Linked DNA regions of Elephas maximus indicus. The protein of the gene in region 3 purifies or fractionates together with the protein of the main gene of each other region. This does not show direct contact. Links are inferred from orthologs where the notes say so. Each region holds a gene or a part of one and is shown on either strand. Other genes may lie near its edges.

Region 1 (9,600 bases), on a different chromosome or scaffold from region 3:
CCGTCAACCTTTGGCCTCGAAACACACAACCCCTACAAAATAAAAATACTATTTCCCCTCCCCATTCAAACAAACAGAAAATTCTTAGCGAGGCACAGTTAAAAAAAAAAAAAAAGCTGTGAGCCTTTCTTAGATATACAAAACACTAATAATACATATACACAAAGCTCTTCCAGTTTAGAGGACTTTAGAGGCCCAAACAGCCAACAAAAACGTTCGAGTGAAGCACACACACACACACAGACACACAGACACACAGACACACACACACGGCCACCGCCCTGGAGCGCGCTTCTAACTCTCCTTGGCTTGGAACACTTATTCCCTACGCCTCTTCCTAGTGAACTCTCCCATCACTCCAGACCACCTGCTCTGTGCAGCCTTTCGCAGAATTACTCCCGCATCCCTCTTTTCCAAGGCGCTATGCACACACCCTGTTGTTGCATTTAACAACCTAGAGGGAGCTGCAAACAAGTAACAGCAGCAGCTAAGCGGCAGAGTGCCCTTTTAGGAAATACAGAGCCCACCGTTGCCAGGGTTTCTAATTTTTCAACCCAGTCTTTTATGTGAAATACCTTAATTTTAAAAAGGACAACTCTGGAGATGAGGTGGGGAGGAACTGAGTGCATAAAGGCATGTGTAAACTTTTTAGGTTGAGGGAACTCTTCTATATCTTGATTGTGGTGATGATTACACAATTATTTATCAGCAAAACTGAAAAAAGTGTACACTTTCATTGGTGAATTTTACTGTAAATACCTGGAAAAAAAAATGGTGGCAACCAATTCAAAATTGTCCTAACCTGGGCAGTCCAAACAAAACATACCTGTTAGTCAAATCTGGCCTGCAGGTTACCAGTTCACAGGCTCTGTGCTTACTCTAACTCCCTGTTTACCAATCTATCTCAGTCCTCCAGGCTGTCGAAGACCTGATACACTTCCTAGCAAAGTCTTGGCAAAGTAAATGTATCAGCTGTAGTCCTAGTCCTCCTGCCACTGACACTGTTAGATGTGCAGACTCAGAAGTTGCTAAACCTCTCAGCTTTTGTGGACTGTGTTTTTTGTAAAGGAAGGATTAACGTCTTTATGAGTCTGAAGTGAGGAATAACAGGGAAGATGCACTTGAGTGTATTAAAAATTTAAGATGTCATCATTTCAAGAATTCTCATGTCAATTGTCAAGGTTAACTCCATAAGTGATTGACAGATAAACAGGACGTCTGGAAAAGACAGGGTTAGAGAAAATGCAGTTGAGTGGTCCCATGAAAACCTTCATATTTTAAGTCCACTAAATCTGAAGCCTTGGTGGTGCGGTAGTCAGGAGTTCGGCTGCTAACTAAAAATTGTTCTGAATCTACCAGCTGCTCCTTGGAAACCCTATAGTGCATTTCTACCATGTCCTATAAAGTCGCTATGAGTCAGAATCAACTCTATGGCAACGTTTTTTTTTTTTTTTTAAATCAAGACAGTGATCTTCCGTACCTATTACATTACTAAAAATGTGCACTGCTAATGACTGTTAATTACCTCAGATTCCGAGATGATTTTGAGATGATATCCTCAGGTTTAGCACAGGACCCTGCTGAGTATGCTCAATAAATGTTTGTTGAATGACTAAATGATAAAGATGTGTGGCTGGTGATGATCAGGATGATGGTCACAATGAAGGTGACGTTGGGGTAAAAGGGGAAGGATGGCAAAAATGAACTGTTATTTGGAAGAAGCCTCTGGATCTTCTTCTTCCTTCAATTCAGGCACTTCTACTCTAAAATCTAATTCTGTATTTATGGCTTTGGCAGATTCTTCAGCGATTGCAAGGTCTGAGTGCTACTACTGCCTGAAAGTTCAACCTTTTCTTCTCAAAGTTTCTTCTCCTCCTCCTTACTAGACTTTGACTTAAGATTTGGACTTGGATTTGGACTCAGATTCTTCCTTAGAACCAGATTTTGTATCTGTTTCTTTTACCCGTACCACTTCTTTTTCATTATCTGAATCTTCCCCCTCTTCAACTCCTTTTGCTTTTATTTCTAAGGTTCTTCTGTACCACTTCATAGTATACAGAAATTTATTGAAATCTCTTTTAAAGGCCACACTTCTATCCAGGAAAGGATCCATCTCAATTGCAGCACCAGTGAGGTCTAAGGCCTGGCATAAGACAGCAGTTTCCTTAGATTCATTTTTAGTTTTGGTTGGAGGACTTGTCTTCTCCCTCATCTATGGGTGTAGACTCTCATTTATCACCAAAGTTTGAAACTTGAGCAGGTCACTGATTTGCCTGGATCTCAATGAATGTAAAGCCCATCCGTTGTGCAGAGTCTATGATTTTTTTTTCAACTTCATTAACTCTAGGAAAACATGCATCATTTACAACATTCTCCCAAAGTTTCCACCAAGCTTTATTAAGAGCCGCTGGTTTTATAACATCCATTTCTTCTTTTACAACTACCAAAGCATCGGCTATGTTGTTAATGTTGCCATATTTCTTTCAAAGTTTATGGAGAGGATTTTCTTCAATATAGTCAGCAAAATGGTCAAACATATGCTTGGCATAACACCTCCTGAAAGCTTCAATTACACCCTGATCCAAGGGCTAAAAAAGGCTAGTGAGGGGAGAAACACAGTATCAACATTCCAAAAAAAAACCAAACCCAGTGCCGTGGAGTCGATTCTGACTCATAGTGACCCTATAGGACAGAGTAGAACTGCCCCATAGAGTTTCCAAGGAGCACCTGGCAGACTTGAACTGCCGACCCTTTAGTTAGCAGCCGCAGAACTTAACCACTACTCCACCAGGGTTTCCACATATCAATATTCGGATGAGCAAAGTATATTGAGTCTGAGTGATTGGGACCTCTGTAGCAACACACTGAATTCGAGATTTTTTTTTCTGTTAAATAACTTTGGGCTTGATGGACAAAACAATTATGAAACCAATCCAAAAAGAAGACAGTGGTTACCGATACTTTGGGGCATGATCACCAGAGAACAGGAGGGCGTTTTTTAAATCTTTTTCTTTAAGACAAGTGAGATTAGGGTCTTTGTAAAGTAGCAATGGGTTGTATCGTTTTGTCACCTGAGGCACTGGCACAAAAAATAAAGAAAATCATGTCCTTAGCTTCCTCTAAGCTTTCTGCATTTTTTTTTTTTTCCCCTCTGAAAGTACTCAATGGCTCGCACTTCTAAAACAAGCTTATGTCCTCAGCGTTGAAGACCTGTTGAAGCACACAGCCTCTAGCTCTGAGCAGTCTCTGGAGTTGCTTGGGATACTTGGGTGCCTACTCAGCATTCAGCAATTCTTCCTTCCCCATCACCCTAGCATTCTGCAAACAGTTGCGATTTTAAAACTTCTCAAACCATCCCTTGCTCACATGAAATTTCTCTTGGTTGCCATTCCCCATGGTTTCCACCAGCTGCTGGTAAATGCGTTTGGCCTGGTTGCAGATGGCCTTCAAAGTCAGATGACGTCCTCCTATGGTCTGGTCCTCAACCCAAAAGGTTAATTCAGTGTCCATCTTCTCCATGCTTATACCCCAGGGTACGCACAGCACCTTGGAGCAAATGGGTGAAACACCCACCATGCTGGCACTAAATGGCCTTCTCGTTTTTCTTAATGGTGCTCACCGTAAAATTACTAACGCCAAAAAGGCGCCCGACATCGGTCTTACTCACGCCTTCGTCCACCTTATATAAAATTTCCATCTTGTTTTCCAGGGGTACGATCCTCTGCCTCCACTTGTTACGTGTCTGGGGCGGGATGGTGATTTCACCCCCTGCCTCCACTCCACTTGGTGTTACCTCAGCTGCTGCGGAAGCCGCAGCGGCCTCCACAGCTGCCGGTCTCGCCGCTGCCGAGAGCCTGGACAGCGCCCGAGAGGCTGTTTAACCTTCGGTTCGTCCCCATCCTCACCACTCCGCTTGCGGGGCATTTTTGCGAGTCTTCGCTTTCTGTGGTAAAAACCCGAGAAGACTGGAAAGTCAGATGACGTGCCCAAATGAGCAGTGTCCAAGATGCCAACAGACCGAGCCCCACAACCACCGGCAGCCGCTGACTCGGCACTAACAGACAGAGTCTCGCGATGCTTGGCAGCCCCCTAACGCGCGCAGGCCGCCAGCTCCGCATTCCGATTGGTGCGGCCTAGCGGTTCTCAATCACAGCCGACGAGACGAGACGCGAGGCTGCGCCACGCAGATCTCGCGAGGCTGGGAGAAACGCCCTGGGAGCCCGAACGGCGGGCGGCGGGTCGAAGAGCCCCGTCAGGGGGGTTAAGATGGCGGCCCAGGTGCTGGCGCTGCTGCGGGAGGTGTCGCGGTTAGAAGCGCCGTTGGAGGAGCTTCGCGCGCTTCATTCGGTGCTGCAGGCTGTGCCGCTCAGCGAGCTCCGAGAACAGGTGGCGGAGATGCACCTCGGTCCGCTTTTCTCCCTGTTCAACCAGAACCATCGGTGAGAGGATCCTGAAGCTTGAGCGGGGAGTGACACTCCCAAGCCTAGGGAAGAAGTGAATGGGGAAAGGGGAGTGAGTTTCTCAGTCGCAGGGGAGCTAGAAAATAGCCGGAATTTCAGAGGGCTAAGGACCCTGGGCTAGAGAGGCAAGACACAGAGGTTCTAGTTCAGCCTCTGAGGTGTGTCCACGAGCTAGCTTACTCTTGTGGTTTGGTCTCCCTGCTCTCATCAAATAGAAATTGGAGGAGCAAAGCAGTGGTTGACCACCTACAGGGAGGACTCCACAACCACGTATATAGGTCCCTGACATTTTTCCTTCTCTTAAAAATGCATCCCATCCTGGCAACTTGGCAAGACCGTCCACATTTTTTTATTTGTATTTTATTGTGCTGTAGGTGAAAGTTTTCAGCGCAAATTAGTTTCTCATTCAAAAATTTATACACAGATTATTCTGTGCCATTGCTTGCAATGCCCCCAATTTTCAGCACTCCCCCCCCACCCCGTTCCCTCTGTTCTTGTGTCCATTTTTCCTGTCCCTTCCTGCCTTCTCATCTTTGCTTTTGGGCATATGTTGCCCATTTGATCTCATATACTTGCGTGAACTAAGAAGCACTTTCCTCAAGTGTGTTATTGTTTTATAGGCCTGTCTAGTCTTTGGCTGAAAGGTGGACTTGGGGCGTGACTTCAGCTCTGAGTTGGCAGGGTTTTTGGAGGCCGTAGTCTCGGGGTTTCATCCAGTCTCTCAGACCAATATGTCTGGTCTTTTTTTATGAATTTGAATTTTGCTCTACATTTTTCACTCGCTCTATCCAAGACCCTCTATTGTGATGCCTGTCAGAGCAGTTGGTGGTGGTAGCCGGGCAGCATCTAGTTCTTCTGGGCTCAGGCTGGTAGAGGTTGTGGTTCATATGGTCCAATAGGCCTTCGAACTAATATTTTCATTGTGTCTTCGGTTTTCTTCATTCTCTTTTGCGCCAAACGGGGTGGGACCAGTAGATGTATCTTAGGTGGCTGCTTACAAGCTTTTAAGACCCCAGGCACTACTCACCAAAGTAGGATGTAGAGCATTTTCTTTATGAACTATGTTATGCCGATTGACTTAGATGTCCCCTGAGACCATGGTCCTCACTCCCAGTAACTCAAGCCCTCAAGGTGTTTGGATGTGTCTACCAAGCTTTTATGACTTTGCCTTGGTCAAGTTGTGCTAACTTTCCCTATATTGTGTGTTATGTTTCCCTTCATCAAAGTTAACAGTCTCTCCTATCTATTTGGAAACCGTGGTGGCGTAGTGGTTAAGTGCTATGGCTGCTAACCAAGAGGTTGACAGTTCGAATCCACCAGACCCTCCTGGAAACTCTATGGGAAGGTTCTGCTCTGTCCTTTAGGGTTGCTATGAGTCAGAATCAGCTCGACAGCAACAAGTTTTTTTTTTTCCTATCTAGTTACTGATTTCCCCTCTCCTTCACCATAACCATCAAAGATTGTTTTTTTCTTTGTGTAAACCTTTTCTTGAATTTTTATAATCGTGGTCTCATACAATGTTTGCCGTTCTGTGATTGACTTACTTCACTCAACATAATGCCCTCCAGATTCATCCATGTTGTGAGATGTTTCATGGATTCTTTAACATCGAGTGGTATTCCATTGTGTGTATGTGTCATAATTTATTTATCCACTCATCTGTTGACAGGCACTTAGATTGTTTCCATCTTTTTGCTATCGTGAATAGTGCTGCAATGAACATGGGTGTATATGTATCTATTTGTATGATGGCCTTTATTTCTCTAGGATAATATTCCCAAGAGTGGGATTGCTGGGGGTCATATGGTATTTCTATTTCTACCTTTTTAAGGAGGCACCGTATCATTTTCCATAGTGGTTGTACCATTTTACATTCCCACCAGCAGTGTATAAGAGTTCCAGTCTCCCCAAATTCTCTCCACTATTTGTTACTTTCGTTTTTTTTGATAAGTGCCAGTAATGTGAGGGTAAGGTGGTATCTTGTAGTTTTTGCATTTCTCTAAGAGCTAATGATTGCAAGCATTTCCTCATGTGTCTGTTAGCTGCCTGAATGTCTTCTTTGGTGAAGTGTCTCTCATATCCTTTGCCCATTTTTTAACTGGATTAGTTGTCTTTTTGTTGTTGAGTTATTGAAGTATTCTATAGATTTTAGAGATTAGACCCTTGTTGGATATGCCATAGCCAAAATTTTTTTCTTTTTACTCTTTTGGTGAAATCTTTTGATGAGCATAAGTGTTTAATTTTTAGGAGCTCCCAGTTGTCTGGTTTATCTTCTGGTGTTTGTCCATTGTTAGTTATGGTTTGTATCGTATTTATGCCATGTATTAGGGCCCCTAGCGTTATCCCTGTATTTTCTTCCGTGATCTTTATCGTTTTGAATTTTATATTTAGGCCTTTGGTCCATTTTGAGTTAGTTTTTGTATATGGTATAAGTTATGGTTCCTGCTTCATTTTTTTACAGATAGACATCCAGTTTTGCAAGCACCACTTGTTAAAAACAATGTCTTTTCCCTATTTACTGGACTTTTTGGACCTTTGTCAAAGATCACCTGACCATAAGTGGATGGATTTACATCTGGATTCCCAATTTTGTTCCGTTGGTCTATGTGTCTGTCATCGTACCATTACCAGACTGTTTTGACTACCATGGCTGTATAGCAGATTTTGAGATCAGGTAGTATGAGGCCTCCTACTTGTTCTTTTTCTTCAGTAATACTTTGCTTACTTGGGGCCTCTTTCCTTTCCATGTAAAGTTGGTGATTAATTTTTCTATCTCTTAAAGAGTGCTGTCGATATTTGGATCGGGATTGCATTATACCTGTGGATCACTTTGTGTAGAATTAAAACATTTTCTCAATGTTGAGTCTTCCTATCCGTGAGCCTGGTTTGTTCTTCTATTTATGTAGATCTCTTTTGGTTTCTTGCAGTAGGGCTTTGTAGTTTTTTGTATAGCTTTTTTACATCCCTGGTTAGAATTATTCCTATGCATTTCATCTTGCCAGGGGCTATTATAAATGGTATTATTTTCCTGATTTCCTTTTCGAAGTTCTCTTTCTTGGTGTATAGGAATCCAACTGATTTCTATATGTTAATCTTGTATCCTGCTACTCTGCTGAATCTGTTAGTTCCAGTAGTTTCCTTGTGGAATCTTTGAGATTGTCCATCAACATTCTATTTATTTTTTTGAATCAACTGTGTATTTTATTGTGCTTTAAGTGAAAGTTTACAATTCTAAGTTAGTCTCTCATACAAAAACTTATATATGCCTTTTGCTATGTACTCCTAGCTGCTCTCCCCCTAAAGAGACAACACACTCCTCCTCTCCACCCTGTATTCCCTGTGTCCATTCAATCAGTTCCTGTCCCCCTCTGCCTTTTCATCTCGCCTCCAGACCAGAGCTGCCCACATAGTCCCATGTGTCTACTTGAGCTAAGAAACTCACTCCTCACCAGTATTATTTTCTGTCTTAAAATCCAGTCCAAACCCTGTCTGAAGAGTTGGCTTTGGGAATGGTTCCAGTCTTGGGCTAACAGAAGGTCCAGGGACCATGACCTCCAGGGTCCTTCCAGTCTCAGGCAGACCATTAAGTCTGATCTTTTTATGAGAATTTGAGGTCTGCATCCTGCTGATCTCCTGCTCCAGGAGGGATTCTCTGTTGTGTTCCCTGTCAGAGCAGTCATCAGTTGTAGCCAGGCACCATCCAGCTCTTCCCATCTCAGGCTGATGTAGGCTCTAGTCTATGTGGCCTTTTCCGTCTCTTGGGCTCTTATTGACCTTGTGTCTTTTGTGTTCTTCATTCTCCTTTGCTCCAGGTGGGTTGAGACCAATTGATGCATCTTAGATGGCCACTTGCTAGCGTTAAAGACCCCAGACAAGGATGGCAATTTTTTTTTTTTTAATGTCTTCAAACAATAACAACTTATTATCTTACAATAGTTCAGGTTAGAAGTCCAGTGTGAGTCTCACGGGGCTAAAATCAAGGTGTCAGCAGGGCTGAGGGTGGCAATTTTTACTTGTCATTGTATACATATCTGTAGTGTTTGAGTTTTAAACCAAAACCAAACCCACTGCCGTTGAGTCGATTCCGACTCACAGCGACCCTATAGGACAGAGTAGAACTGCCCCGTAGAGTTGCCAAGGAGCGCCTGGTGGATTCGAACTGCCGACCTTTTGGTTAGCAGCTGTAGCACTTAACCACTGTGCCACCAGGGTTTCCTTTAAAATGTTTACAAACTAGTATTTCAAAATGACGTATTATTCACCCATAAAGAGAAATGAAGTTCTAATGCATGCTAGACATGGATGAATCTTGAAATGTCAGACACAAAAGGACAAGTATTGTATGATCCCACTTACATGAAGTATCTAGAATAGCCAAAATGCATAGAGACAAAAGGATATTAGTGGTTACCAAGAGCTGGGGGGAGAGGGAAATGGAAGGTTATTGTTTGAGGGGTGCTGAGTTTCTACTTGGAATGATGAAAAACTTTTGGAAATAGATAATGGTGATGGTTGCACAAGAGGTGGATGTAATTAACGTCACTGGATTGTACACTTACGATGGTTTAAACGGAAAATTTTTCGTTATATACATTTTACTACAATCAAAGGAAAAAATCTTTTTACTTGAAAAAATAATCACTGGACCAACACTGGATTATTTCGGAGGACCTTCTTGGCTCTGACCTTCTAAAATTCCTTCCTTTTTCATACTTGTTCCCCCTTCATTAAAATACATATTAGTTACATTCTTTCAGGCTTTATGCTCTCTTTAATTCAGGCCCTCAGTTTCCCTTTTGCTGGGTCTGTTGCATTAGTCTGACTTCTCATTACCTCTTGGCTTCCTATTCTAGAGTATCCTTCACACACTGCAATCATAGTAATCTTTTTAGGTCACTTGGCTCAAATCTTTCCCATAGCTTACCATTGCTAAGGTATAAAATGCTTACTTAACGTGGCATTTGGGCTTTGACAAGTATATTTCCACCCTACTTTTCCAGCCTCACTTTTTCCTGCACTCCCTTACACATAGATTTTGTCTGCTTCTGCTACCATGTGGCACCACTTGCTTTTCCCTTGAGCATGACTTGGCACTTTGCTGACTTTGTTCATGCCAGTGCTTCTAACTGATATGCCTTTC
Region 2 (9,600 bases), on a different chromosome or scaffold from region 3:
GGCGTTTGTTTGCTTGCCTGCTTGCTTGAGCTTCTATGACTATGCTCTCAATTCACTGTTCACACAGAATGAATGAAACTTTGACCTAATTTTCTACAAAGGCAAGGGGGAAATAGATTTAGATTGTTTAAAAAAAAAAAAAAAATTGGGGTGTGGGGTGTCTCTCACTGAACAGAAAAAAGATGCTTTCCAGGTTACACCCTGAGAAAAACTGGTTTATAAGTTGTGTGCTTGTTTACTAACAAGCTCCCATGAAAAAATAACAAAAACTCCGAACACTAAATTTGCCTATCTTTCAATTAAAAATGTGTATTTCAAAGCCCACTGTATCTTGTAACACTGCAGCAAGAACACCTGGGAAATTGTCTGCATAATGACACACTCGGATCTCAGAAGAACAGAAGGGTAACAGTTGTTTTTCTCTTAACTGCCTTCCCCTGTGCCTCGGTGCGAGGCATTAAAATACACCAGTTTGAGATTTCAAGTACAGGTAGTATATTTAGAATTCATATTTTCCTTCTCCAAATTTCCTGATGCAGCTGCCACCTTGTCTGGTCTGTCCTAAATGAACAGAAATGTACAGAGAGAAAACACACACTGGAACTTCCAGAGGGCAGAAAGCTTTCACTGATGTAACCCAAGTGCCAAGTCAGTGTCTGGCCAAGCCAAAAAGGCATTTGAAAAAATAATTTGCTCAAAGAAGGCTGCATTCTGCCTCCACTACTCTATCAAATTACGCACTAACCTCTGAGTCTCAGTGTCATCACTTTGACCGTGGAGGCAACTCAAAGAGTACTTGTTATCCCAGGACTGATTCTAAGTCTCCAAATTTAAGAGCATGGGGGGAAAAAAGATGCCATAATATAGAAATGCTGACTAATGAGTTATTTTCATCTTTGTCCATGAGGTCTCTGTGATAAGTCTCAGGCAAAACAATGCAACTGAAATGCAAACTCAGAAGTGACTTAACAACTGCTGCAAGAGAAGCACAATTTCCCGAGGCTGATGAAAATGATACCGGATTATTCATTTTTTTAGGTTTGATAATGGTATTGGAACTGTGGGTTTTTTTTTTTTTTAAGCCCTTTCTCTTAGAGACACACAGTGGAAACACTGACGAATGAAGTAATACGCTTCACAATAATGAAGGGAGATGATGGAAGAACATGACTGGTCATGAATTTGTAACTGTTGAAGATGGGTGATGGGTACACAGGGGTAGGGTTCATTACTATGTCTTCTTTTGTATATGTTTGATATTTTCTATAACAAAGGTTTAAAGCAAACAAATGTTTCAATAAATATTTAAAAATTGTACAAATCAAAATCAGATATATCCGTTGACAAATGAGATTGTGGCAGAAGCTCTCAGTTAACTCATGAAAACTAACATGGTGTTCAGAAGTGGTTAACTGATAGAGGCCTCAAATATTTTGAAAATGCTACATAAGTACGACCAAACTCATTGCTGTCGAGTCAATTCCAACTCATAGAGGACCCACAGGACAGAGCAGAACTGCCCCACAGGGTTTCCAAGGAGTGGCTGATGGACTTGAACTGATGACCACTGCGCAACGAGGGCTCCATAAGTATGACAGTCCTACCAAATAAATAAACAATAAAGGATACTTTACTGTGATGTTATAAAACTTTGTCAGAAACATCCATGTCCCCCAAAACTGCTTATGTGTTCCCTCCCCCCATGGAAAATCAACTTGCCCACTACAAAGACATTTTGGTTCCCATTTTAAGTGCGGTCACTTCTGAACATCTTCATCTACCACTTCTCCTACCTGGTTATCACTGATGAATGTGATAATTTGTCAATTTGGTCACTATAAGTTGGGGGCCAACTAGACAGCAGCTAACAACCACCTTGACTAAACTTTCATTTCTGGTGGTTGTATAATCTAATCAAATACATCACGTGGTTTCAGCTGGGGTAATCCAACTTCTGCCAGGAAGGGTACATGATGTTCTCAGTAACAGACAACTGAGGTTTCCTTCTATAAGGGATCAACAGTTTAGTTAGCTAAGGAGATGATTCTCAGTGTAACATAGTCAGGTCACTGCAAAGCGGCATCAAGTACATTTTACTGTAACAAAACCAGGATTTAAATTTGCTTCATATGACACCAAATCCACACACACATTTACAAAAATCAAAATTCTGTTTAAGAAAGAACGGAAAAGAGAAGTGAGCGCGGGTGGGGTAAGCTTCTAGGAAACAGTCGCCCATTCACTCCTTCTCCCTCCCCTTTCCTCACTTCCTCCAGGCCAGTTTAAAGGGACACCGAGCCAGAAAGGCCCTCGGGGCCATTTAAGCCCAGGAACTTTTTAAACAGTTTGCTGCTCTGATGCCTGGAGCAGGCTTCTCTTATCAAAAAAATATTAATAAAAAAAAAATCAATGCAGTTTTCATCTGCCCGAGAAGCCCACTTTTTTGTTTAACATTTTGTTTTTATAAGCAGTCCGATGCTAAAATTTAAAAGGTTGAAAAACTAAGTCTAACATCCTCCATCCAAATGAAGAACCTAAAGCTACGAGAGGCCGAGGGTAAGCACTACAAGCGGATGAGGTTATCGGCAAAAAGCCAGGTAGATGACTGAGGTCTTCAGGCTAGATTTCACTGCCTCTTGTGAAAAGTCCGGAAAGGCAGGAGGAGAAAAGCTGAGTTCCCTTCATTCTTACTCGGGCCATACAAGCTATCTACTGACACCTTTCACTGAAGGTACCCAAGAGCTGTTTCCACTGCCCTTTTCCGAAAACCACTAATTTACGCCTCCCTTCTCTCATTTATTTCCTCCCTTCTTGAAGACTGGCCCTGTGACATACTACATCACAAAATCGCTCTTGAACAGGCAGTTTTAATCCTTTAAACTGGCTTGCAAAACAGCTTGTATTACATTACAGGGCCAATTTTTATAACACACAGAAATAACCTTTCTTAACAGAGATGATAGACAGACTTCACATCTCAAGATGGATTGAAACAATTACGTTAACTACCGAAATGCGGTGAAAAGTCAAAAGAGGCGGAGGGAGGGCCAATGCAGATTAAGAGTGTCTCCCAACTCAAAACTCAGCTCCACCCAGACCCGTGACACCCAGCTTAAGGGGCACGTCTCCGGCTGTGGATCCAATTCCAGGGCCTGTAAGCAGCATTTACACCCTGGTCTTCTTTAGGAAAGTTCTTGATCTATGCAAGTATTTCCAGTACTTTACAAACTGTTCAAACAGTCCTTGTAGAAAAATACACTCTGGATTACTTGAGGCTTTACAGGATATAAAAATAAAATCACAGAACACTCGGGCAGGAAGGGTTCTCAGGAATTATTTAGTCCAACCCCCTCGTTACACTTATAAGAAACTGTAATACAGGCTTAAGGAGCTTCCCCGCAGTGGAGGAGCGAGTGGCAGAAACCAGATTTTATTTACGTCACTATGTTTCCATCTTTCTATAAAGTCCTAAATATGATACCTATGGTCACACGTTTTGGCATCGTTAGATACACACTTATGCAGCACGCAGGTCTTAAAGCACAGCAAGCACGTCTGTAAACAGGTCACCTTAACATATGACTTACGAGAAAAACACACAACCAAGATCACAACTTGCCCCAAAATGTCACATACTGCAATCCCAGGAACCAGCTTGCAGCATTTCACCACTGCTCCAAAATAAAGCTCTACCTGATGGCATTTCCTGCTGGTTATTTAGACACACATGACTAAAGGGCTCATCACCATTAAGCCATCTAACTGCAATCCTGCCCTAAACACACAGGGGTGTTCCACTGTAGCCCTTTCTAGTAAAAGCTCCTCTTATCAAATAAGGCCAACAACAACAAAACCCTAGGTGCTAATTTACCAAACCCGGTAACAATAAAGATTTCAGACAACAATGCCTTACTGTGCAGAGCCTTTGTAGGTTCCAGGTTCAAAAATCCAAGCCAGATATGCTTCACACATTGGCCTATTTATACACACAAATCTGAAACCAGCTGTTTGTGTCCACAAAAACTGTACTCTCTGGCAGACCTAACGCAAGTGATGAAAACGGGCGTTTACTGCAACTGCCTCTTTTTAGTGTGCCTGAGGACCAAACAGCTAGGGAGCTCACATGAAAACCATCATTTGATTTTAATCATTTACTCATCTTCCCCTTTTGATGAAAAGCAGTTCTCTGCCTGCTGGAGTCCTTTCTTTCCAAGTTTCCTCCGGATCCTAACGCCACAAACTTTTTTACACTCTAAGTTAAAGAGGAGGGTTGTTAACCTCGACATCTTATGGTCACCTTTTGTAGAGGACAAATTAAGTGCTTCAGTTTTGCTTCTTTTTATTTAAAAAGGTTAATTACTCCCAGTCCTCCCCTAAAAGGCAACAAATTTGTCAGAGAGCCCCTAATAACTGGCAGGTAAGGGCCATCCCATGTGACAAAATGGAAAGATGATGAATGCATTACAAAACGCTGAGTCATCACTCAGCACACTCAGCAGATTTGGGTAAACACTGTCCAAGTGACTTCTGTCTTGTGTGCGTTTGCCCGTCTGTATCCACAGGCATCGACCTACAAAGTTAGCAGGACTTCGTGTACAGTTTATCAAACAGGACACCGCAAGATTCTTTTTTAAAAAGTTCTTCCAACACAGTGAAGATGCACTTCTAGCAAATAAAGTCTCTAACCTTTTCCCCCCACTATCTATTTTTACTCTCCCCCCCCACCCCAATTTCAGGGACACTATAGTTTGGACCTAGTTTACTAAAAACAAATCAACAAAATAGAACTCTTGAAACTCACTTAGGCAATCCAGGTTCCTCAGAATGACCCAAAAACTGACACAAAACTAAAACACAATTTGAAAAAAAAGGGGGGGGGCGGTGGGAAAGAAAACTGACAGAGCCTGATGCTAAGAAAGCACTGGACAGGGCTCTTCCTTGTCTTCCTTAGTATTATAAAGGTCTTTTCAAAGGAAATGTCAACAACGGCGGAACGTACAGTTTTCCCGGGTTCGAGACTCAACACTAACTCAGCTGTCGGTTCTAGTCTACAGCCAGTGCACTGCCCAAGGATGGGCTGAGGGATGATTCCACAGAGACTGAGCAGGCCCAGAAAAGAAGAACCCAGAACTTTCCTTCCGGTCTCCTTCGCATTCAGAAACCGCGGGCAGAAAAGTTACTAGATGGGAATTGAGGGATGTGAGGAGGTGAGTACCTTGGGGGAAAGAGAACCTGAGGAAGCTCGGGGGAAGCCAAGAGGTCCCTCCCCTGAAGACGAGTTGTGTCTGTACAGCCCCAAACCGGCCATGGGCAACGGTCCACGGAGGACTCTTGGGGCCAGTCAGGTGCCCCCGGCTCCCCAGAGCCCTGTGGGTCGGAAGACAACAACCCAAACCCTTGGGGGAGGAGCGGAGGGCGGAGGAGCTCGGAGAACCATGGAAGTCCCGCAGGAAAGTGGCAGGGAAGAGGCAAGGGGGCTTCCCAGGTTTCTGCAGCGGCTCTGGCTGGTGCCACAGCACCGGGACCACCGGCTCGAAACGCAGCCGAGCGCGGGGTCCAGGCGTCCCGGACAAAGGGGCGCCGCCGGCCGCCCTTGCCCTCGGTGCCGTCCCCGTCCCCGTCCCGCAGGCCTGGCACTTACGCCGAGAGTTTCCTGGTCCAGAAGAGGCCCCCGGGCCACAGCTCCTGCAGCTGCACCGCCCGGCCCAGGTTGTTTTTGATCTGGGCCAGCTGCAGGTCGGACTCGGCGTCCAGTCGCTCGGCGTAGGGCAGCAGCTTGTTGTAGACGATCTCCTTCTGCGGGACGAAGGCCCGCGGGCCCGGCTCGGGGCGCCCGCCCGGCTCCGGGGGGTCCCCGCCGCCCGCCAGCGCGACCGGCTCCATGAGCCCCGGGCCACCCCCGCCCCCTCCCGCCCGCGCCCGCCCCGGCCCCCGCCCCTTGCGGGCTCCGCCTCCTCCGCGTCGTCGTCGCCCTCGGCCCGACCGCTGGGCCCCCTCCCCTGGCCGGCGCGCTGACCTCCGCGCGGTCCCCGGTTCGTTGGTGGCGGCAGCGGCCGCTCCGCCCGCCCCACACCGGCTCGGCTGGTGACGCTGCAGTCGCCGGGCCGGGAGGTTCCGGAAGGGCCTCAAGTCACTTCCGGGGCGGGGCGCGGTTTGGGGCGTGGCCACGATGGGCGGGGCGGGGCGGGGCCGCGGCGGCGGCGGGAGCGGGAGCCCAGGGCGCCGAGCCTCGGTGGCCGCCGCCCGGGCGCCGAGCCCTCACCCCGGGCCTCACAGCCGAGCCTCAGGCCGGCCCGCCCGCCGGAAACGCGAGGCCGAATTCCGGGCTATTGTCCTGCCTCGCTGGGGTCGCGCGCTCCCTGCCCTCGGCAGCCCGAGTCGCCGTGCCTGCGGCAGGGGCGAGGACCTCCCGGTTCTGGGCTTCGAGGATTGACGGAAAAGCCTCGGTGCCTTGCGTGCATCCCGCTTGCTAAACTTAGAGATTTTTATTCTGTCCCCTCCAAGCCCCCGTCTTTCTGGAATTCTCCCGGCCGCCATCAGCCCAAAGAAAAACAATGGTTATTCATTCACCAAATAGTAATTGAATCAGTATAAGAGCACCTGCCTTCTGCCCTGCAGGGACTTTGAAATGGGGATGCGGACTAGTGACTGAGCAATTCAGAGACAGAGCTTTTAATGGCTGTGTAAGTGCAGGGTGCCTCGGGAACTCCAGGACCACAAACTGGAGGGATATCAGGTGGGTTCCTGGGAGTGAAACTTAATAGGTAGGAATTGAATATACAGGGAGCACTCTAGGAATTCAGAGAAGTTCAGGATGGCTGAAGATGGCTCGCAAGAAAGGAGAGTGTGGAAATGAGACTGACAAAAGCCCGAGGGGGTTTACATCTTTATCCTAAGGGCAACAGGAAAGGAAAGATTTTACGCATAGGAGTGGCAGGATAGGATTCGCATTTTAGAAGAATCACTGGCTTTGCTTGGGTTGGACAATGTTGGAACTGGAGGACTGGTTAAAAAACTGTGCAGTCATGTGGACGACAGAGGAATGGCCTCGTTGTCAGGTGAAATGTTTTGAGAGCTATTTCAGGAAGTAGAATGGTTGAGGCTTGGTAGTTGATTGAACATGAAGCGTGAAAGAGGGAAGAGACAGGAGGATGACAGATGTCTGGCTTGGGGGACTGTGTAGTGAAGCCCTTTGTTGAGAGCACGCCAGAGCAGAACAGGTTTGGAGGCAGAAATAGCAAAATGCTTTTGGGATGGTTACATATTTTGAGATATGGATCAGCAGGATGATCTAAACTGTAATATGGATTACCACACAAGTGGATAGGAGGGGATGAGATATCGTTGTTAGGTTCCGACTCACAGCGACCCTGTGTACAACAGAAGGAAACACTGCCCAGTCCTGCACCATCCTCATGATCCTTGTTATGCCTGAGCCCATTGTTGCAGCCACTGTGTCAATCCATCTTGTTGAGGGTCTTCCTCTTTTTCACTGACCCTCCACTTTACCAGACATGATGTCCTTCTGCAGGGACTGGTCCGTCCTGATAACTGGTCCAAAGTATATGAGACAAAATCTTGCCATCCTCGCTTCTAAGGAGCATTCTGGCTCTACTTCTTCCCAGACCGATTTGTTCATTCGTTTGGCAATCCATGGTATATTCAACATTCTTCCCCAACACCATAACTCAAAGATGTCAATTCTTCTTCAGTCTTTCTTATTCATTGTCCAGCTTTCGCACGCATATGAGGTGATTGAAAACATCGTAGCTTGGGTCAGGCACACCTTAGTTCTTTAAGTGACGTCTTTGCCTTTTTAACACCTTAAAGAGGTCTTTTGCAGCAGATTTGCCCAATGCAATGCGTCCTTTGGTTTCTTGACTGCTGTTTCCATAGGTGTCGATTGTTGATCCAAGTACAATTAAATCCTTGACGACTTTAATCTTTTCTCCATTTATCATGATGTTGCTTATTGGTTCAGTTGTGAGGGTTTTTGTTTTCTTTATGTTGAGGTGCAATCCATACTGAAGGCTGTAGTCTTTGATCTTCATCAGTAAGTGCTTCAAGTCCTCCTCACTTTCAGCAAGCAAGATTGTGTCGTCTGCATAACGCAGGTTGTTAATGAGTCTTCCTCCAATCATGATGCCCTATTCGTCATATAGTCCAGTTTTTTGAATTATTTGCCCAGCATACAGATTGAATAAGTATGATGAAAGGATACAACCCTGATACATACCTTTCCTGACTTTAAACCATGCAGTATCTTCTCGTTCTATTCAAACGACTGCACAATTGAGTGTTCTGGAATTCCCATTCTTTGCAATGTGATCCATAATTTGTTATGATCCACACAGTCAAATGCCTTTGCATGGTCAATAAAACACAGGTAGACATCTTTCTGGTATTTTCAGCTTTCAGCTGGGATCCATCTGACATCAGCAATGATATCCCTGGTTCCATGTCCACTTCTAAATATGGCTTGAATTTCTTGCGTTTTCTTGTCTATACACTGCTGCAGCCGCTTTTGAATGATCTTCAGCAAAATTTTACTTGCATGTGATATTAATGATATTGTTCGATAATTTCCACATTTGGTTGAATCATGTTTCTTTGGGATAGGCATAAATATATATCTCTTTCAGTAAGTTGGCCAGGTAGCTGTCTTCAAATTTCTTGGCATAGATGAGTGAGCACCTCCAGCATTGCATCCATGTGTGGAAACATCTCAGTTGGTATTCCGTCAATTTCTGGAGCCTTGTTTTCCACCAATATCTTCAGTGCAGCTTGAACGTCTTCCTTCAGTACCATTGGTTCTTGATCATATGCTACCTCTTGAAATGATTGAATGTTGACCAATTCATTTTGGTACCATGACTGCATGTTCCTTCCATTCTCTTTTGAAGCTTCCTTCATTGTTCAGTATTTTGCTCGTAGAAATCCTTCAGTATTGAAACTTGAGGCTTGAGTTTCTTCTTCAGTTCTTCCAGCTTGAGAAATGAAAGTGTGTTCTTCCCTTTTGACTTTCTATCTCCAGGTCTTTGCGTATGTCATTATAATACTTTACTTTGTCTTCTCGAATCACTCTTTGAAGTCTTTTGTTCAGCTCTTTTACTTCATCAGTCCTTCCATTCGCTTTAGCTACTTGACCTTCAAGAGCAAGTTTCAGTGTCTCTTCTGACATCCATTTTGGTCTTGTGTTTCTTGTCTTTTTAATGACCTCTTGTTTCTTCATGTATGGTGTTCTTCCACACCTCATCTGGTCTTCGGTCATTAGTGTTCAACGTGTCAAATCTATTCTTGAGAAATGGCTTCTAAATTCAGGCAGGATATACTCAAGGCTGTACTTTGGCTCTTGTGGACTTGTTCTCATCAGCTTCTACTCGAACTTGCCTATGAGCCATTGATGGTGTGTTTCACATATGAATTGATGAGATACAGCATATGAAAAGAATAGGGTCCTTGCCAGACTTTGAGGAACTCCACCATTTAAAGATGGGCAGAGGAAGAGGAGATAAACCACAAAAAATATTCAAAAGGAGCAGTCAGATAAGCTAGGAGAGTGGGCGTCACTGAAACCAGAGAGTGTTTGAGATGGAGGAA
Region 3 (9,600 bases):
AGATTCCAAAAGGTCTGCGCCCATTGCTCTGCGTGTAGCGCTGCCAAGAAATGAAACAAGTCAGCGCCACCTTCCTTCAGCCTTGGCACTGGCACAAGGCCCCAAAGCTAGCCACAGGAATTACCAACGACACCCCAAACAACTATGGTCTATCTCGGAAATTCCAGGGAAGAACGGAAGTATTTTAAATTGCTCAGCCCACTCTCAGGTTACTTGCAATTCCGATTATGAATGAAACTAGCCCACAGCTTTCAGCATTCCTCTCTGCGTATCCGTCACCCTCAGGAAGACCCGCCTGTGACCAGAACCACATCATGGAGCATAACAGAGGATCTCTGGAGTCACTCTGATGGAAACAGATGGGCTCAGCCTGCTGAGGGGTGGCTTTCCGCCCCTCCCACGTGCCTGGTGCCATTTCCCCACGCCACCAAACGAGAGCAGGAGACCACCATAGCGAACTGACGTGTACCACTGAGAATCAGGACTACCCCGGTGCTCTGACTGCCTCACGAGTAACACGGGACACTTTCCACAGCAGGCCGATGCCCCATGCTGGAGCCGTGCACCCAGGCAGTGCACACCTGCTTCAGACTGGCAATATAGCGGGTGATGTACTCCACGGTGACCGGGTCCTCCACTGTCAGCCGGTGGCTCTGGCACTCCACTCGGGCCCTGTTGATGACGATCCTTGCATCAGCGGTGAGGCCTGCAATGACAGCAGAGCAGAGCTTCCACCTGAGCCACACGTGCCCAGTCCAGTGAGGACGACACTCGGGATGCAAGCAGGACAGCAGTGGCCCTCTGGCATGGATCTCAGACTAGTCCCACGCAGCCAAGCACGGAGGCCACCTGAACGACTGCCCGCGCTTAGCCACACTAGGTTATTCCCTTGGGAATTCTGTCACGAGGCTGGTCAACCCCTTATTCAGGTCATGAGAGGCAAGATGAAGAGAGCTAACCCGCACCACGTGCTCAGTGGCCCTGCCCTCTCACCTTACAACAGCGTGTGCAGCCCAAGAAAGCCTGCCCTTATATCACAACAGAACAGAAAAATGGCCATGAAGGGACACGGCACAGCAGCCACATCCTGGAAGTGCTGCAGAGGTATCCTGTGACACTCTGGCCAATCCTTTAAAATCCCACACCCATTTCTTGTTATGGATTGAACTGGGTCCACCCCAAAATATGTGTTGTAAATCCTAACCCTGTAGATGCGACCCCATTTGGGAACAGGGTTTTCTGTTATGTCAGCGAGGCCATGCCAACACAGGGTGTGTCTTCAGCAGTCAATTTTGAGATGTAAAGAGCAGATGGGGCACAGACAGAACAGAGATGACCAGGGACCACTAGAAAAGCTGCGACAAGGATTTCTCCCAGAGCAGACAGGGAAAGCTGTCCCCTAGAGCTGGTGGCACCCTGATTGCAAACTCCCAGCCTCCTGAACTGTGAGAAAATAAATTTCTGTTCATTAAAGCTACCCACTTGTGGTATATACGTTACACCAACACTCATCAATGGCTCTTGTTGACCAGTTGACACGTCCCCCAACAGCCTTTCCCCCCCGCCGCTGCCCTTAGAAGTTCTGTTCTTTGCTGGACCTCAAGGAACAAAGCCCTGTCCTGAGACTGGTACCTGCAAACGCCATGCAGACATTGTCATCCAAAGCACAGATCTTCCGCACCGTTCTCTCATCCTGCAGTTTGGCCACAGATTTCTTTTCCACTCCAAGAACAACAATTTCTCTTCCTCGTACGCCAACCTTCAATAAAAATCAACAAACCGCTTAATACAGTGACTGAGGTTCTGCCACCAGGCGAAGCAGCAGCCCTCACCTCACCAGGTGTGCCAGGCACAGCCTGCCCTCCTCCATGTGCCCGCCACTACAGTCAGCAACACACCCTGCCAACCCTGGGTATCGGCTCTTTATTGGCAGAACTAGCTGAAAGTGAAGAGGACTTGAAGCCCTTACTGATGAGGAGCAGAAGGTACAGCCTTCCGGATGGATTACACTTTAACACAAAGAAGACAAAAATCCTCACAACTGGACCAGTAAGAAACATCACAATAAAGGGGGAAAAGACTGAAGTTGTCAAGGATTTTATTTTACTTGGATCCACAATCAACACCCATGGAAGCAGCAGTCAGGAAATCAAAAGACGCATTGTATTGGGCAAATCGGATGCAAAGACCTCTTCAAAGTGTTAAAAATCAAAGAGGTCACTTTGAGGACTAAGGTGCGCCTGATCCAAGTCATGGTGTTTTCAATCGCCTCATACGGATCCAAAAGCTGGACAATGAATAAGGAAGACGGAAGAAGAACTGATGCCCTTGAATTATGGTGTTGGCAAAGAATAACGAATATACCGTGGACTGCCAGGAGGCAGAACAGATCTGTCTTAGAGAAAGTACAGCCAGAGTGCTCCTCGGAAGCGAGGATGGCAAGAGTTCATTTCACTTACATTGGACATATTATCAGAAAGGACCAGCCCCTGGACAGGGACATCGTGTTTGGTAAAGTAGAGATCAGTGAGAAAGAGGATGACTCTCAATGAGATGGACTGACTCAGTGGCTGCAACAGTGAGCTCAAACAAAGCAGTGATCGCAAGGATGTCGGAGGACCGAGTAGTGTTTTGTTCTGTTGCACATGGGGTCGCTATGAGTCAGGATGGACTCGACAGCACCTAAACAGAGGTTATCCAGGTACTCTAACCTAAAATGCCCGACGCCATGCTTTTAAAATACTGAGAGTTCAATCATAACGTAACTAAATTACTATATAATTAGCATATGCGTTATTTAAATCTAATGAGTTAAACAGTTGCCCTTAATGTCGTTGGGTGCCATCAAGTCAATTCTGACTTATAGTGACCCCATGAGACAGAGTAGACTTGCCCCATAGTTTCCTAGGCTGTGATCTTTACAGGAGCAGATTGCCAGATCTCTCTCCTGTGCAACCGCTGGTGGGTTCAAGCCACTACCTCTTGGATAGCCGCTGAGCGTTTAACCATCATACCACAAGTGCTCCTTAACAGTGAAGTTAGGTATTCTGAAACGAACGTTTCTAAGTTGTGAAATTACGAACAACCCATTGTGCCTGTCCCAGCAGTGCCGTGTGCTAATGCACCTGGCTGTGTGAGGACTTGCCATTGGGGACAAAGGTGTCAGCTGTTGTTGGGAGGGTAGACAGGAGATGATGTGGCCATTGTTCCAAAGAGAGAACCTCAGTTCCGTCCCCACTGAGACAGAAGCAAACACAACGGGACAACTCTCAGAGAGATAACAGCCCTGGTTATTTCTGAGCGGAGCCTCCCAACACCCAGCACTGCTGACGCTCTGGCTAGATGACTCTGTGGGCAGCTGTGCGGGCACTGTAGGGAGATTAGCAGCACCCCTGGCCTCTACCCACTGGATGATAGTACCCCTCCACCTCCTTAAAAATTTAGATACCAAAAATGTGTCTTAAAATTGCCAAATGCCTCCGGAGGAAAAAGTGCCCCCAGTTCAGAACTACCTGACCACTCCCAGAGAAATGGACTGGTTTGCAGGAGCTAAGCCAACAGGTAAGATTTGGGGCCTTCATTTCTAAACAGCTAAAACTTCAAGAAATGAAAAGGAAACGCATAGCACCGCACGGGTTGCCTCTGCTCTGCAGCTCCAACCTCCCCAGTGCTGGGCTTGAAGTGAAAAACTGGCAGAGAATTTGCAGTGACAAACGGACGGCAGCGTCACGTGCTGTCTCTAAGCTCCCTGCACATCAAAACGGCCCTGTGTGGTGTGAGCTGAGGCCCAGCGTGGTGTAAGCTGAGGCGCGGGCTGACTCAGATTGGGTCGGGCTTCTGTGGCCTAATGGTCAGATCCAGGGACGCACCTGCCCAGGCCCTGCATTGCTGACACTGGGAGCCAGCAGCTTTTTGTTCTCCAAGCCCACCAGGTCCTTTGGAGACAACTCATTTCCCTAGTGGAGGAGACCCCCATAACTCGGAGCTGGCTGAGTATCGTTGCTCCAGCGCACCAAGGAAGCCTGCAGGAGCCAGCCCTGAGAGCCCATCTGCGCCCCTGCAGTGCGTGGGCCAGCCACACCCCCGCCGCAGTCCCGCCCAGTGCAATGGTGACCACGCCAAGATGGCCGTCACACTGCCAGCATCGCGCGGGGCTCAGGGGGGCACTCCGCTGCAATGAAAGATAAGCAACCCTCCTTAAGTTTCCACCCCCTTCCCGGAACTCCGCTGTTTGTGAAAACGCCTGTCAAAAACCGTGGGCAAACATCTGCCGATATTTCTTTCAGTTACCAACGCTGTACGTCCCCGGCCTACTCAACCTCTGAGAAATAAACAAGCCGCTCAGTCCTGGCTCGCTCTCCACCCAAACAGCAGAAAGCCACTGACACCGCAGGCCCAAGGCCTCAAATCACAAACGCGGTTCCTCCTCCGTTTTCCTTTCGAACAGCGGCGTCGTTGCTTCCGTGCGCTCCACTCCTACCACTAAAACAACCTAAAACCAAACCCACTGCTCTCGAGTCGATTCCGACTCATAGCGACTCTATAGGACAGAGTAGAACTGCCCCATTGAGTTTCCAAGGAGCACCTGGTGGACTTGAACTGCCGACCTTTTGGTTAGCAGCCGTAGCAATTAACCACTACGCCACTATGCTCAGTTAAAACAGCGAGCCCACCACACACGCCCCCGAATACAAAGAGGGATCAGCACAGCGGCTCGACCAAAGCAGGGCAGCGAAGGCAGAGCTGCCGCGCCGCGCCAAGGTTTAAGGCGCGTACCGGGGAAAGCGCCGCCGCCCGCACGAGAACGCGCCGCTTCCCGAGCCCCCAGCACCCGCCGCCGCGCCCCGGACCACCGCACCCGCCGCGCCTGCCTCCAGGACGCAGGCAGCGGGACACACGGCAGCTTCCCGAGCACCACCCTTCCGGGACCCCGGCACAGCCCGAAGCGCAGCCCTCCCCGGGAATCCTCCCTGCGCTCCCCCGTAGGCTTCCTGGGATCCCCCAGCCCCATCCCGGCGGGCTCCGGGCGCGCACGCCCCGGGAAATTCCCGGCCCACGGCTCGGCCCACTGACCCTCCCCGCGGGTTTCGGGGCGCACACCTGCCGTCGACCCCGGCCCAGGGCGCGGCCCTGCTCGTTCTCCCTTCGGGGTCCGGGGCACGCACCCTCCGCGAAAACCGCCAGGAGCCCCGGCCCCCGCGCGGCCCACTTCCGCCTCGATCCCCGGGCTCGCGCAGGCCTCGACCCGGCCGGTCTTACCGCGGTGGAGCCCTTCTTTACGGCCTCCTGTGCGTACTCCACTTGGAAGAGGTGGCCGTCGGGCGAGAAGACGGTGATAGCGCGGTCGTAGCTCATGGCCGGGCCTGGCACGGCCTGCTCCGGAGACTGCCCGCTGCGCCCCAGCAGGTAGGGGAGACCGCCCGCGCGCGTCCTCAAAAGCGCACACTCATGCGCCGCTGCGGCCGACGCACCACGCCGGGCTACGGCCTACGCTGCCGACGCATGGCTACGCCGCCGACGGAAGCCTACGACTGCGCTGCTCGGCTGACCCGCCGACGGAGGCTTACGGCGCCATCGCACGGCTACGCTGCCGACGGAGGCCTACGCTGCTGGCGTAAGGCGTGGGAGGGCGTCCGGAGCGCACCACGGCGGGCGCGGGGGAGCGCGGCGAGAGCGGCGACGGCGGGTGCGGCGCGCGGGACAGGCGGCGGAGCGCACGGCGCGGGGCGCTGAGATAGGATCGGCGGCGCGCGGGGCGGTGGACGGGCAGGCCGGGGTACGAGGCGGAGGCGGCGGCCCGGGCGAGCCCACCGCGCGGCGCCCCCCGCCCGCCCCGCCCCCACCGCTGCGGAGACAGAGCGTCCTCGGACGCCGCGCGCGGCCAGAGAATAAGCCCCATGAGCCAGGGCTGAACCTCTGCCACCATGTCCGTGGCCTTCGCGTCCGCCCGACCGAGAGGCAAAGGCGAGGTCACGCAGCAGACCATCCAGAAGGTGGGCCGCGGGCCGGGGCGGGCGCGGGGGGCGCAGGGCCGGAACAAAGCGCGGGCGCTGCCGCACCGAGGCCGCCCCCCGCGCCCCTCGCAACGCTCTCGGGTGCGACCGCCGAGGCGCGCCGCCTGCGCCAACTTTGTGGGGGGCGCGCCGGCCCGGGTGGGTGCGGGGGTGCCCGGTTCCCCAGGACGCAGCCGGTGTCCGCGGTGCTTGCCGGAGCCAGCCCGGGTCATGCCGGGGACAGGGTGCCGGGGACAGGGTGCCGCCGCCCGCGGGGCTGGGGACAGGGTGTCTCGGGGCCGGGCAGGAGCAGGGCTGATCGCGCTCGGTTGCAACCTGGGTGGCGAAGCGGCGGCGGCCACTTGCTTCTGCTCGCACGTTGGCGAGTGGAGAGGGGCCGGGTGGGCCTGGGGTGCATGGCTGGGGCGGCACGCAGCCTTTTCACAAAGGTGCTGACGCTTGGAGCCAGGAAGGGTCGGAGCAAAGTGTGGGGATCTCGTCCCCGAAGCCCCGCGCGTGAAGTCCACTTGCTCACCAGTGCGCCACCACCTCGTACTCGCATGTAACATTCTTTTTAGCGTGACACCCTGGCCTGCTTTTTCAGCTAACAGAAACTTTGTAGATTTGCCTCACAGCGTTCCTTCTCGTTTTACAAGCTTGGCACTGCAGTTTTCTAGGGATATCATTGATCTAGGCTTAGGAACGTGTTTAACAAATGCTTTTTAGACAAAAGCCTGTAGTTTTGAAAGGGAGACTTGGGATGTCTTATTGTTTCTTATTAGAAGACTCGCTCAGAAGGGAATCCGAGGCAGGCATTCCGCTTTAATCTCCACAACGTCATTTGTAGCTACATCGTTTTCTTTTCTGAACTTTTGATTCCGTTATCATTCTTCCTGCGGGTTCCCAGGAGCGTCCAATTTTCCTTCGGGGTGCACTTTGCTGACTGTGCCCTGTGTTCTTTGGTAATCTGCTGGGTCCTCGTGGAGGTGGCCCTCAGTCTGTGACTTGTCGTCGTATAAACGTTACTACATTAGCTGGCGTTAGGTGTTCAATGATTTTAACAAACAAGGAGCCTCAGCAGATTGAGAAGCAGTAGAAATGCAGATCTCAGAGTGTGGCGTTTTAATTGTGTAATAAACATTACTGTAGTGCTTATTGCGTACCAGCCAGGTTCTAACAGTTGTCCAAGTCTTTATTCGTTCTGTTCTTCCAGGTGCTTACTATCTCTTCTGCTTTATAGGTAAGGAAGCTGAGGCATAGAGAGGTTAAGTGCCTGCCTGGTAAGTTGTAGAGCTGGGAGTCGAACCCACACAGTGGAGCTCCAGGGCCCTCTCCAACCATGACACTGACCTTGGGACACTTGGCTAGGCAGAGGGCTGGGCATGTTTTGGCAGTTGAGAGGGGCTCCTGGCACCCTGGTTTTGGGGAGCTTATCTCTGATAAGCACAATCGTCATTCCATCTTTGGCTTCCTGCCCCCCAACTTCTCCAGGCAAGCATGTGTGTTAGTGCGGCCACCCCCAAACACAGTGGTCAGAAAGAGGAGAGCCTACCTTCAGACCCTCAAAAATGGGCTGGCAGCTGGCTTGACCTGTCCAGTCGGCAGTCCACATCCTCCTGCCTGTGCGTTTTGACAGTGAGTCCGTGCCCCCAGAGCTGTTTTACTGGGTTGCCTGGGGGGGTGTGACAGTCTGTGCCTTGCATTCAGAGTGTGGTGTTTGCAATGTGTGGTCGTAGGTATGCGTTGGGGGCGTTGAGGAAAACCAAGGGTGGTGGCGAAGAAGCAGGAGGTGTACGCCTTGTTCTCAGAGCGTATCTGTCGGTGGGATTCTGTTAGGCAAAGTCCTATGCCACCTTCAAGGCCCTACTCAGATGCCTTCTCTCTCTTTGGTTGGCATATGGCCAATATAGCAGTTTGACCCATAGCTTGAGCTCCTGGGCTACTTTCTGTTTGCAGTCTCCTGAGCTCCTGGGCAGGGTGAGGGCTCAGGACATACTAAGGGTGGATGACACTGGCTTTGTCAGTGGGAGTGCTTTTGTTAAGTGGGTGTGTGCGTTTTGGGGGTGTTCGAGACAAGAAACAAATGAAAAGAGGGTCTAGAAGTTTGAGGGAGTCATGGGTCGTCTCATGCAGGGACTGCGTGGAGCAGTCCAGAAAGGCAGGAAAGGCTGGCCTGCCCTGGGGACCTGGGCCCCGTGCTGAGGACATGGTGCAGGGGGAGAAGCAATCAGAAAGTGCTTGGGTGAGAACTGCTGAGCTCGGGGTGCCACTTTGGTGGGCCTTAGCAAATCCAGCAGCCCCTGCACTCAGCTGCCTGGCTGAGTGGCTGGGACCTGTCCTCTGCGCCTCCCCTGCGTCTTGGGACCAGTGTGTCCTGTTGACCAGCACTGCACTCTGGGGAGGGCAGCAGTGTGGCCAGGTGTGGGCATGTAGGAAAGGGCCCTGGGCACGAAGCTCCTCTGGCCTGCTTGGTGCTTCCCTGCTGCTCAGCACACAGTAGTTGCTCAATAAATGCAGCCATTGTTGTTACACTTTGTATGGCATTCTTGATTGTAGGCTGGGGATGAGGTCTTGTCCCTCTGCGTCCCAGCAGCACATGCAGGGCGAGATCGGTACACAGCCCCGGGAGGGGGGGGACGAGGTGGGGACCTGGGGCTGTTTGCCAGTGAGGAGCTGCAGGGGTGGCGCCGTCAGGCTGCCTGGGCCCCTTTCCTTCCCCAGTTTCTTTGTTCTTAAGACCAGAAAGGGTGATGCCCTACCCAGCATCCCAGAGCATGAGTGGGCCAGCCCTGCTCCAGTGTCCTGCGTGCGCAGGAGCAGGGGGTGGGGACGTGGGGAAGGGATGGCCAGCTGGGTGGCGGATGGGCCTCAGGTAAGGGATGGGCATCCAGGCAGAGGGTGGGTGCCCTGGTAAGGGATGGGCGTCCAGGCAGAGGGTGGGTACCCAGGTAAGGGATGGGTGTCTGGACAGAGGGTGGGTGCCTTGGTAAGGGATGGGTGTCTGGACAGAGGGTGGGTGCCCAGGTAAGAGATGGGTGTCCGGGCAGAGGGTGGGTGCCCTGGTAAGGGATGGGTGTCTAGTCAGAGGGTGGGTGCCCTGGTAAGGGATGGGTGTCTAGTCAGAGGGTGGGTGCCCTGGTAAGAGATGGGCATCCAGGCAGAGGGTAGGTGCCCAGGCAGGGGATGGGTGTCCGGGCAGAGGGTGGGTGCCCTGGTAAGGGATGGGTACCTAGGAAGGGGGGGTTCACGTTGGGTAGGGACGGGCTCTTTGGTTAGAAAGGTGAGCCGGCTGTTCACAGAATGAGACTGTTCCCCCAGCTGTGAGTGGTCCAGGGACACCCCCAGCTTCCCACTAACATTGCTAATTGACAGTTTTTAGTGAGTTGTTACAGAAAGCTTGCTGCCCAAAAGTAGAGTCCCCCCTGCCAAGGGAAACACCAGCTACCTATATTTACATCCCCAGGGATGGAGAGGGGGTGATCTCCTGGGAGGGAGTAGGGGTGGGGTCCCAGGAAGCCACAGGAGCCCAGCCAGGGGTGCTGAGCAGCCTTGGCTGGCTTCTTGGTCATCTTCTGTGCTTGAGTTGCCCCCGTGAGGGAGCCACCCT

What was found. Proteins that work in one complex are often made in the same cells at the same time.
Region 1: the proteins of PSMA7 (region 3) and PSMD5 fractionate together in Homo sapiens (co-fractionation; 3 studies listed by BioGRID). This does not show direct contact. The link is inferred for Elephas maximus indicus from reciprocal best matches to the Homo sapiens genes PSMA7 and PSMD5.
Region 2: the proteins of PSMA7 (region 3) and PSME4 purify together in Homo sapiens (affinity purification with mass spectrometry; 4 studies listed by BioGRID and IntAct, with this or other methods). This does not show direct contact. The link is inferred for Elephas maximus indicus from reciprocal best matches to the Homo sapiens genes PSMA7 and PSME4.

What each region holds. Positions count from the first base shown.
Region 1 is NC_064827.1:70,762,796-70,772,395, reverse strand, and holds the start of PSMD5 (26S proteasome non-ATPase regulatory subunit 5), read left to right. Parts: upstream 1-4,187; 5' UTR 4,188-4,266; coding exon 4,267-4,439; intron 4,440-9,600. UniProt on the Homo sapiens protein: Acts as a chaperone during the assembly of the 26S proteasome, specifically of the base subcomplex of the PA700/19S regulatory complex (RC).
Region 2 is NC_064844.1:8,230,118-8,239,717, reverse strand, and holds the start of PSME4 (proteasome activator complex subunit 4), read right to left. Parts: upstream 5,896-9,600; 5' UTR 5,884-5,895; coding exon 5,642-5,883; intron 1-5,641. UniProt on the Homo sapiens protein: Associated component of the proteasome that specifically recognizes acetylated histones and promotes ATP- and ubiquitin-independent degradation of core histones during spermatogenesis and DNA damage response.
Region 3 is NC_064843.1:5,782,620-5,792,219, reverse strand, and holds the start of PSMA7 (proteasome subunit alpha type-7), read right to left. Parts: upstream 5,485-9,600; 5' UTR 5,356-5,484; coding exon 5,260-5,355; intron 1,760-5,259; coding exon 1,633-1,759; intron 707-1,632; coding exon 582-706; intron 41-581; coding exon 1-40. Other genes in the region: SS18L1 (calcium-responsive transactivator), read left to right, coding at 5,925-5,993.